Saccharomyces cerevisiae S288C: one gene and its partner. Changing the gene in region 2 together with the main gene of any one other region gives a genetic interaction. Each region holds a gene or a part of one and is shown on either strand. Other genes may lie near its edges.

What was found.
Region 1: mutations in MCH1 (region 2) and IOC4 together harm fitness more than expected from each alone (negative genetic interaction), as found in Saccharomyces cerevisiae (2 studies listed by BioGRID).

Annotation. Positions count from the first base shown.
Region 1 is NC_001145.3:353,546-357,641, reverse strand, and holds IOC4 (Ioc4p), read right to left. Parts: upstream 2,259-4,096; coding exon 831-2,258; downstream 1-830. Other genes in the region: transcription factor MCM1, read right to left, coding at 2,911-3,771. UniProt on the Saccharomyces cerevisiae protein: Functions as a component of the ISW1B complex, which acts in remodeling the chromatin by catalyzing an ATP-dependent alteration in the structure of nucleosomal DNA.
Region 2 is NC_001136.10:359,008-363,206, forward strand, and holds MCH1 (Mch1p), read right to left. Parts: upstream 2,279-4,199; coding exon 818-2,278; downstream 1-817. Other genes in the region: PBP4 (Pbp4p), read right to left, coding at 2,692-3,249; 1-acylglycerol-3-phosphate O-acyltransferase SLC1, read right to left, coding at 3,665-4,199. UniProt on the Saccharomyces cerevisiae protein: Probable transporter. Does not act in the transport of monocarboxylic acids across the plasma membrane.

The DNA of each region.
Region 1 (4,096 bases), on a different chromosome or scaffold from region 2:
ATTAAATAATCTAAGTTACCTGATACAAGAACTCGACAAGAAACCAATTACCAAAGGATTACTAACCGACAGTAAATCTACAATCAGTATAATTATATCCAATAATGAAGAGAAATTTAGAAACAGATTTTTTGGTACTAAAGCAATGAGACTGAGAGATGAAGTATCAGGAAATCATCTGCACGTATGCTATATCGAAACCAAAAAGAATATTGCAGACGTAATGACCAAACCTCTTCCGATAAAAACATTCAAACTATTAACAAACAAATGGATTCATTAGATCTATTACATTATGGGTGGTATGTTGGAATAAAAATCCACTATCGTCTATCAACTAATAGTTATATTATCAATATATTATCATATACGGTGTTAAGATGATGACATAAGTTATGAGAAGCTGTCATCGAAGTTAGAGGAAGCTGAAGTGCAAGGATTGATAATGTAATAGGATAATGAAACATATAAAACGGAATGAGGAATAATCGTAATATTAGTATGTAGAAATATAGATTCCATTTTGAGGATTCCTATATCCTTGAGGAGAACTTCTAGTATATTCTGTATACCTAATATTATAGCCTTTATCAACAATGGAATCCCAACAATTATCTCAACATTCCCCCATTTCTCAAATGATAATGCACAACAGACTTAGAACTTTAATTGTAATAATACAGCACAGTCTAGGTGAGTTTTGGACTATCAAAGACTGCGTCATACATATCAGAACATACACAAGTTACATAGTTTTAGTCTATTTTATAGTACACAGGTTTCCCCTCTATTGTTCAAAAGCAGAGTACATCAACTGCAATAGCAACAGGTCATGCTCCTACTTTGCTTTCTTCTTCCTTTACGTCTTCACTAAAGCTCGGCTTTTCCCGATCCATTTCTTCAATTTCCATATTTTGCTCTAGTTGCCAATCTTCCGTATCAGGTATGAACTGGTAGGAATAAATATGCTTGAAAATATCCTGGAAACGATCCCACAGATCCCATTTGTTCAGTTCCCTTTTTCTTAAGTTAAATAATATCCTAAAGTTTAACAGTAGGGAATTATTTGATTGGAAAATTGTTATAAATTCGTTTCTGGACCCCCTGGTGTCAAGGGCAATCTGCAATTCATCTAATATTATTTCGAAATCATCCTTTATCGAAACAGCCTGGTTAATGGCTGAACATAAGACATCACACAGGAGCTTGTTGATACCTGCTAGTTTATCCTCCAGATCTAGCTTAATCTCCACATGCTTTTCTAGATTTTTCTTCTGCGACAGTTTTTTCGCAATCGGATCCATCGTTTTTTCGATTGATAGATCTTGTGGGCCCAACCCAACAATGCTCCAATCTTCATCATCTTCAAAATGATATTTGATTGGCTTAGGTGGTTTAGGTTTCTCTTTCTTTGCCTTTGTTTTTGGATTTGGTTTAGTCTTGGATACTACAACTTTCTTAGTTTTGGTCCTTTGCGGCCTCTTTCTAACAGCCTCTTGTACTTTTTCCTCCTCTTCCTCCTCTTCCTCTTCTGAAGCATCTATCGCTTGTTGCCTAGTCGATCTAGTAACTCTTTTCCTTTTATTGCTATTACCGCCCTCACTCTTTTCCGTTTCTGAGGCGCGCTTCTGACGCTGTCTACTGGAAGACCTGGTTGGCCTTATAGCCTTTTTTTCAGGTTCGTTCTCTTCTTCCTCTTCCTCTACATATTCCTCTTCATCTGGCTTGCCGTAAGACCCATATTCCACAAATTCCCAAATATCAATTCCATTTTTGCCTCTCATAGCCATTTCATATGCCGGTATGAGTTTCTTATTCTTCCGCTGTTTGCCGCTTAGCCACTTACGACAATCTTCGCTTGTTAGAATCTTCATATCCATGGGCTTCACCCAGATATAAGAATCATCGCAAAAAAACTTGACGCAGTAAGTCGATTTCAACGTATCATTTTTACGAAACTTCAGAACGGGAGTGTATATTATAAATTTTTCAGGATTAGCCTCACTCTCACCAAAATCCTCTATATCTTCTTCTTCTTCGCTTTGCTCTCGATCTCTAGCCTCTGATTCCATGTCTGCATCTATATCTTCATTTGCTTTTTTATCACTACCTGATTTGCCTTTGTGGACACTCACAGGTTTGGTCTTGAGGATGTTATCTGGGATGAGTTCATTAGGGATAATCATTGCTGGCCATGCTGAAAAGCCTTTAACTTTGGCAAGGACAATGTCCGTTGGCTGGAATATCGCTTCAGACATTATCGGAGAATGACACGCCGTTCTGAAAAATGTAGTTAACAATTTCTTCGTCAATTCTTACTTTACCAATATTGATATAACGCTTAAAAAACTGGCAGCTACATGCGTAGATTTATTTCACTGTTAACGGGGAGCCACGATATTTTCCGTACACTCGTATAAAAGTATATAACTTACAATACTGGCAATGAAATTAGACCGAGAGGCATTTATATGGTAATGATTATACAACTAAAAAAAGATTAGCATTAAAAGCAATGTAATTAACATTATAATTTTTTTGGAAATGTGTGTATGTGAGTAAAGTATACAAGTTATGTGTGGTTTCTCATATTTTTATATTCTTAAAGTTTTATATTTATATTTTATATATCCGGGGAAGGAGAAGGGGAGATTTGATTGAATCTTCTTGCCTATGAAAGAAAGTGGCAGCAAAATGAAATGAGGCAAAGAAACAAACCAGAAGTAATCGTAAAAAAAAAGGTAAGTGCCGATGACTAAGGTACTTCCTATTCTTTTACCGACATAGGGCTTTTTTCAATATAGAGTAATGTACGTTTTTGTTCTTGTTGTCTATCTTTCTTTAATTGGTACGGAAACAGCTTTTTCCTCTTAATGCTCGTCTATGAATTATATACGGAAATCGATAAGATTAGTATTGGCCTTGTTGCGGTTCTTGAAAGTATTGTTGGTAGGCAGCATTCTGTTCAGCATTCAGATAGGGGGAGGCAGCGTTGGCAAAAGCCTGTTGGTGAGGCTGATGAATGCCGGTGAGGGGTTGTTGTTGTTGCTGCTGTTGCTGCTGTTGCAGTTGTTGTTGTTGTTGTTGCTGTTGCTGTGGCTGCGATTGTTGCGGATGTGGTATTCCTTGCTGTGGTCGAGGATGCTGTGACATTTGTTGCTGTGACATTTGCTGCTGTGGTTGTTGTTGCTGTTGCTGTTGTGGTTGTGAATTCTGCGTGTGATGTTGCTGCTGTTGAATCATTGAGTTTTGATTAGGATTGGCACCGCCTAGCAATTGTGACTTCACCTCTTGTTTCAGCGCGCCTGCCGGTACCTGATCTTGATTTAGATGGCCTAAGCTATTTGCGTGTGCATTCAATACTTGTTGCTGTTGTTGCGGTTGCTGTTGTTGTGGTTGCTGGCGTTGCATATCATTACCATCATCGTCATCATCATCATCATCATCACCGTCTTCCTCCTCGTCTTCTTCCTCATCATCAGGGGCGTTAAGACAGGCCTGGATCAGGTTTCTACCTTCCTGCTGCGTGACTATAGGTTCAAACTTCGGCGTGCTGAAAGTATATACCAAACCTGTTTCTGAAACGACTAGCAACAGGACCTGGGTCCCCGTTAGAACAGAAAGCTCAAACGCCTTTTTCATGATACCGTGCTTCCTTTTGGAAAATGTCACATGGCGCCTTGTTTTATTCTCGATGAACTTAATTTCTATCTTTCTTCTCTCCTTCTGTTGCCCATTATTAGTAGGCGTACCTTCTTCGATGTCTGACATTTTTGCTGGGTGGCTATAATATTGTTGCGTGACAGCAAGTCTTGCAGATCCAAAACTTTTTTTTGATTTTCGCTTCTTATTGCTCTGCACTAATTTTTTTTTCTCTTTCCTTTCCCGTTTTTTTCCCTATAACTGAATCGAAAAAAACAGACAAAACAGCGATTAAAAAAAATGTATCAAAAAAAAAAAAAATTCAAAAATATTATCAGTATAATGAATTAACAAACGTAAAATAAAATTGCTTGTTAGGCTATGTATTTTTCCAGAAAAAAGTGGTGAGAATAGGAAACCGATTGGGTATGCGATGATATAGTATGTATAATAC
Region 2 (4,199 bases):
CTACCTGCCAAGGGTCAAAGAAGGCACCTTTATACGATGCCACCTTTTTATAGTATTCTACTACAGAGTCATCGTTCACCAGTTACTGTTCATTCTACTAAATTAGTATGGCGTGTTGCATAGAAGGAAGCATGAATTACAAGATCAGTAGAACAAAAAGTTCAACTGTTTGGAATTTAGTTGAACATGTGACGAAAGCTCTGCTACTAAGACAGGGGCAAAAAATAACAATATGTAAGCATAAGAAATGGGTCAATGTTGGGATACTTGGTGAATTCCGTTCTTTTTAGAAGCGGATTTTCTTATTCGTTTATATGTTGCCATTCATTACCCTATCATATTATGAATCTTCACATTTTATTTTCCATAAGATCTGATGACTGTTTCCCAATCACCTTACATCATATATGATAATGTACAATTGATATGAAGAATAGCAGTCGATGGATGATATTTTATTCTTATTATCAACATGTACAAAGTGTTGGAACGGTAAAGACCAGTGCAAATCTGATAAAACTTTAAAATAACATGGACAAATTTATGTCCAGGATTCTCCGAAGAACTCATCCTTGTTAGCTCAGTTGGTAGAGCGTTCGGCTTTTAAGCGCATTTGCTTAAGCAAGGATACCGAAATGTCAGGGGTTCGAGCCCCCTATGAGGAGTTCTTTCTTTTTTTCTCTCAATTTTTAACCGGTACCTTTAAAAGGGTATCAAAAACAATAGCATAGCATAAAAGAAATAAGTGCAATTTATTGGTGTCATTTATATAAGCTATGAATTTTAAAAAAAATAAATGTAGCAGTTTCTTTTTTGTTTAAATTCTGAGTTTTCTACTTTTTAATTTCCAAAATACTACAGCTGAAAGAACAGCGGATACAACGAATGCGATACTGCTGTACTTGTAGACAGCCGAAATACAGGACGGATTTCGCAGATCTCCTCCGCCACTCATACAGCGAGAATCGTAAAATTTGGCATACAACATGCAAAATATCATAGAACCTATAGCAGGTGCAATTAGTAAGCTACCGTAAACAGTCCCGAATGAGCGTTCGCCCCATACTAACAGGACCAGCGTCGGATAAACAGTGAAAAGTCCACCGTATACAATTCCAACCAATGATCCTGTAGGTACTAGCCCCCAGGGTGACGCTGAAGAGGTCATTTTCAATAAAAACAGTTGTGCACATACCCCTAATGAAAGGAAAGTCAACAGGATCCATTTAATTGATATTTTTTTCTTGGCGAAGAAGTCTGCCACTATGCCTGTGAGCAATCTCGTAAAAGTGGAAGATAGCGCGTATGTGGATAACAACTTTGTAGATAAGGTTGGCGCATCTAATTGGACTAGCAGGTTAGTCAGTGATCCCATATTGGCAATAAACATCTCGAGGGGCCCAAGTGATAACAAAATTGATACCGCTAGGATATATGTCACAGGATCACTAAAGATCCTTAGCATCGTCTGCGTAAACTTTTCTTGAACATGATTACTTCGTTCTAACAGCGGTGATTGTTCCACATCAGTTTGATCATCCAGCCGTTTTTGGTTGTCTTGCTCTTCATTAAAATGCAAAAGTGATACCACGCTGGTGGCTATCCATGCAAGTAGCCCAATAACGACATAAACGAGGGCAAATGTTTGGAATACTCTTCCCAGGTTTAAGTCACTATTGGACGAGGAAGAACTTGCGTTAGAGGACCAGAACCATTTGATTCTTAGCAGTTGAGAACCGACTACAGAAGAAATACCATAACATGTCGTTGGTAAGCTAATGGATAGTAGTTTTGTATGAGGATATAGCTTAGTGCATGTCAGTAAAGCGCTAAAGTATAAAGCGCTTGTTGATATACCTATGAAAACGAAACAAATGATGGATAGATTGAATGATGAGTCACCATTTCCTCCGAGAGATAACTCCGGATGATTAAAAACGTAAGCCAGATATGAATAGCTAGGTATGAACCCTATGATGGCTAAAAGACTTAAAGTAATGGGGCCATGAGAATCAGCGATCATCCCCAAGATTGGTGGCGTCAAGTACATCCCCAAATTAGTCATACTAGCGATGGTGTTGATTTGCCATGAGGAATAATTTAAATGTTTCTGCCACGGTTGAGAGTAAAGAGATATCAAAGTAATGAAGCCAGTTGACACCGCAGATAATAGCGAAAAGATGTATGCAACACGATGTGATGACTGAAGAGACAAAACATGGGGTAAGAGTAAGCGCGTATGGTATGAAAGGTAGTGCTCCACCTTTGATAGAGGCATGATTTGCACTTGGAAAATGGTTATTGCTATAAAATGATATGAAAGGAAACTAGTCTCGATGAAACGTTAGAAGTTGCTGTCTGAGTAGCGGTCTCTGTTATCTTGTATTTACACTGTATAATAGTTTTTCTTGTAGGGCAAAAAGAAAGGTACTAATTTCCGAACGATGCGAAAAGCCGCTAGCATCGGAAAGGCTAAGTGAACTATGCAATAAAGACTAAGAGAAAAAGCAAAGAAAGGCGTCTTAACACAGTATACATTTTTCGACATTATGAATTATAAAATTTTTATTTACGCTTGTAAAATAATATTTTCATTTCTTCTATTTTCCTCTTTTCTTCGTTTTCTTGACTTCATACTTCATTTTTTGTTTGACTCCTTTTTGCGTTATGAAACGTGATGCTTCGATATTCTCATTGGTTTCTTAAAACTTTAGCAATATCGGACAAACAGCCGTATTTTTTATTCTTATTTTTACTGCTTGATACAGTACCCCAGTCAGTGGCTGTTGAAACTCTGCCACTTGCCGTTTCTGATAGTACTTGCTTATAAGTTTTCATTGAATGACTTTTTTCACCAGCGGTATAGCTCTGAAATAATTTGTGCATATACGATCTAACTTCTTCTCTATTGTAAGGTTGTTTATTCGCTCTTTTAAATTTCTTATTTGTGGATGATCCATTGGCGGTGGAACTACCCTTTATATTAGCAGGCGGCGCGGTAGATGCGATGGTTTTAGTCTTCGTATTAGCAGGTTGTACAGCCACGGAATCATCTTTTCGTGCCTGCTGTTGCTGTTGCTGTTGCCTTGGAAGGGCTTTGGCAGCTGCCTGCGCCCAACCTGTTAATTTTGGCTTCTGAGGAAGCACAGCGGGCGTTGGACCATTTGAATTTGGACCTGAAGCAGATAAAGTAGCCTTCAAAGTCGAGGAGGTTCTGCCATCTACACTGGTTGTTGAGGTTGTTGTCATTTCGTACTAGATTAAAGGGAAAATTGTATCGTAAATAAGTAATAAAGTTAATGAAAATTCGGAAACAAAAATGGATAGATATTAAACAGTGAACAAATGAAAAATTTCAGAAAAAAAGAATTAAAAAAAAAAAGGGAAAAAATATGCACAAGATCGTATTATTTGTTGTTCCTCGTATTTTTCTTTCTATTTAGTCTCACATTTTTGACACATGCCTGGTGTTATATATACATTACAATGGAAAGTTCTTTTCTCTTTCTCCGAATAAAGTAGCGGTCTATTGATCACTTCTTACGCTGGGTATATGAGTCGTAATAAATAAAATCATCAGAATCATTCGTAAGTCATTTTACTTTTTTAAAAAGATAATTACAGTTTTTGGGTCTATATACTACTCTAAAAATGTGGTGGTGGCTTAATGCATCTTTTTTACAGATGAACCTTCGTTATGGGTATTGACATCGTTGCTAATGCTGACAGAAGGCACAGGCTCATTCTTGATTTTCTTGTTCACTTTCTTGTCATGTTGAAGAGCGGCATACTCAATAGCTTGTGGTGGGAGGGTTGTATCGTTGATGGCGGGAGAGTAGCCAATCTCCTTCAAAGTGTCAACCATTTGATCTCTAACTTTTTCAGCAAATTCACCAATTTTGTCCTTTGTTAAGTTCTCGGTTGAAATAGGTTTTAAAATTCTAACAATCATACAGCCTCTGTTGAAGACCCCATATTTAGGACTTACTAAAGTACTGGTATTGGAAACAACCACTGGAACAATGGGGATCTTACCCTGTTGTGCCAAATGGAAAGCACCCTTCTTGAAAGGCAACATTGTCAGCTCACTCGTGTAAGACCTGGTACCCTCAGGAAAAACCCATAGAGCACGCTTGTTTTTCTTAACATTTTCTAAACCTTTATTCAAGGTGTCAATGGCTTCTTGCCTTTTAGATCTG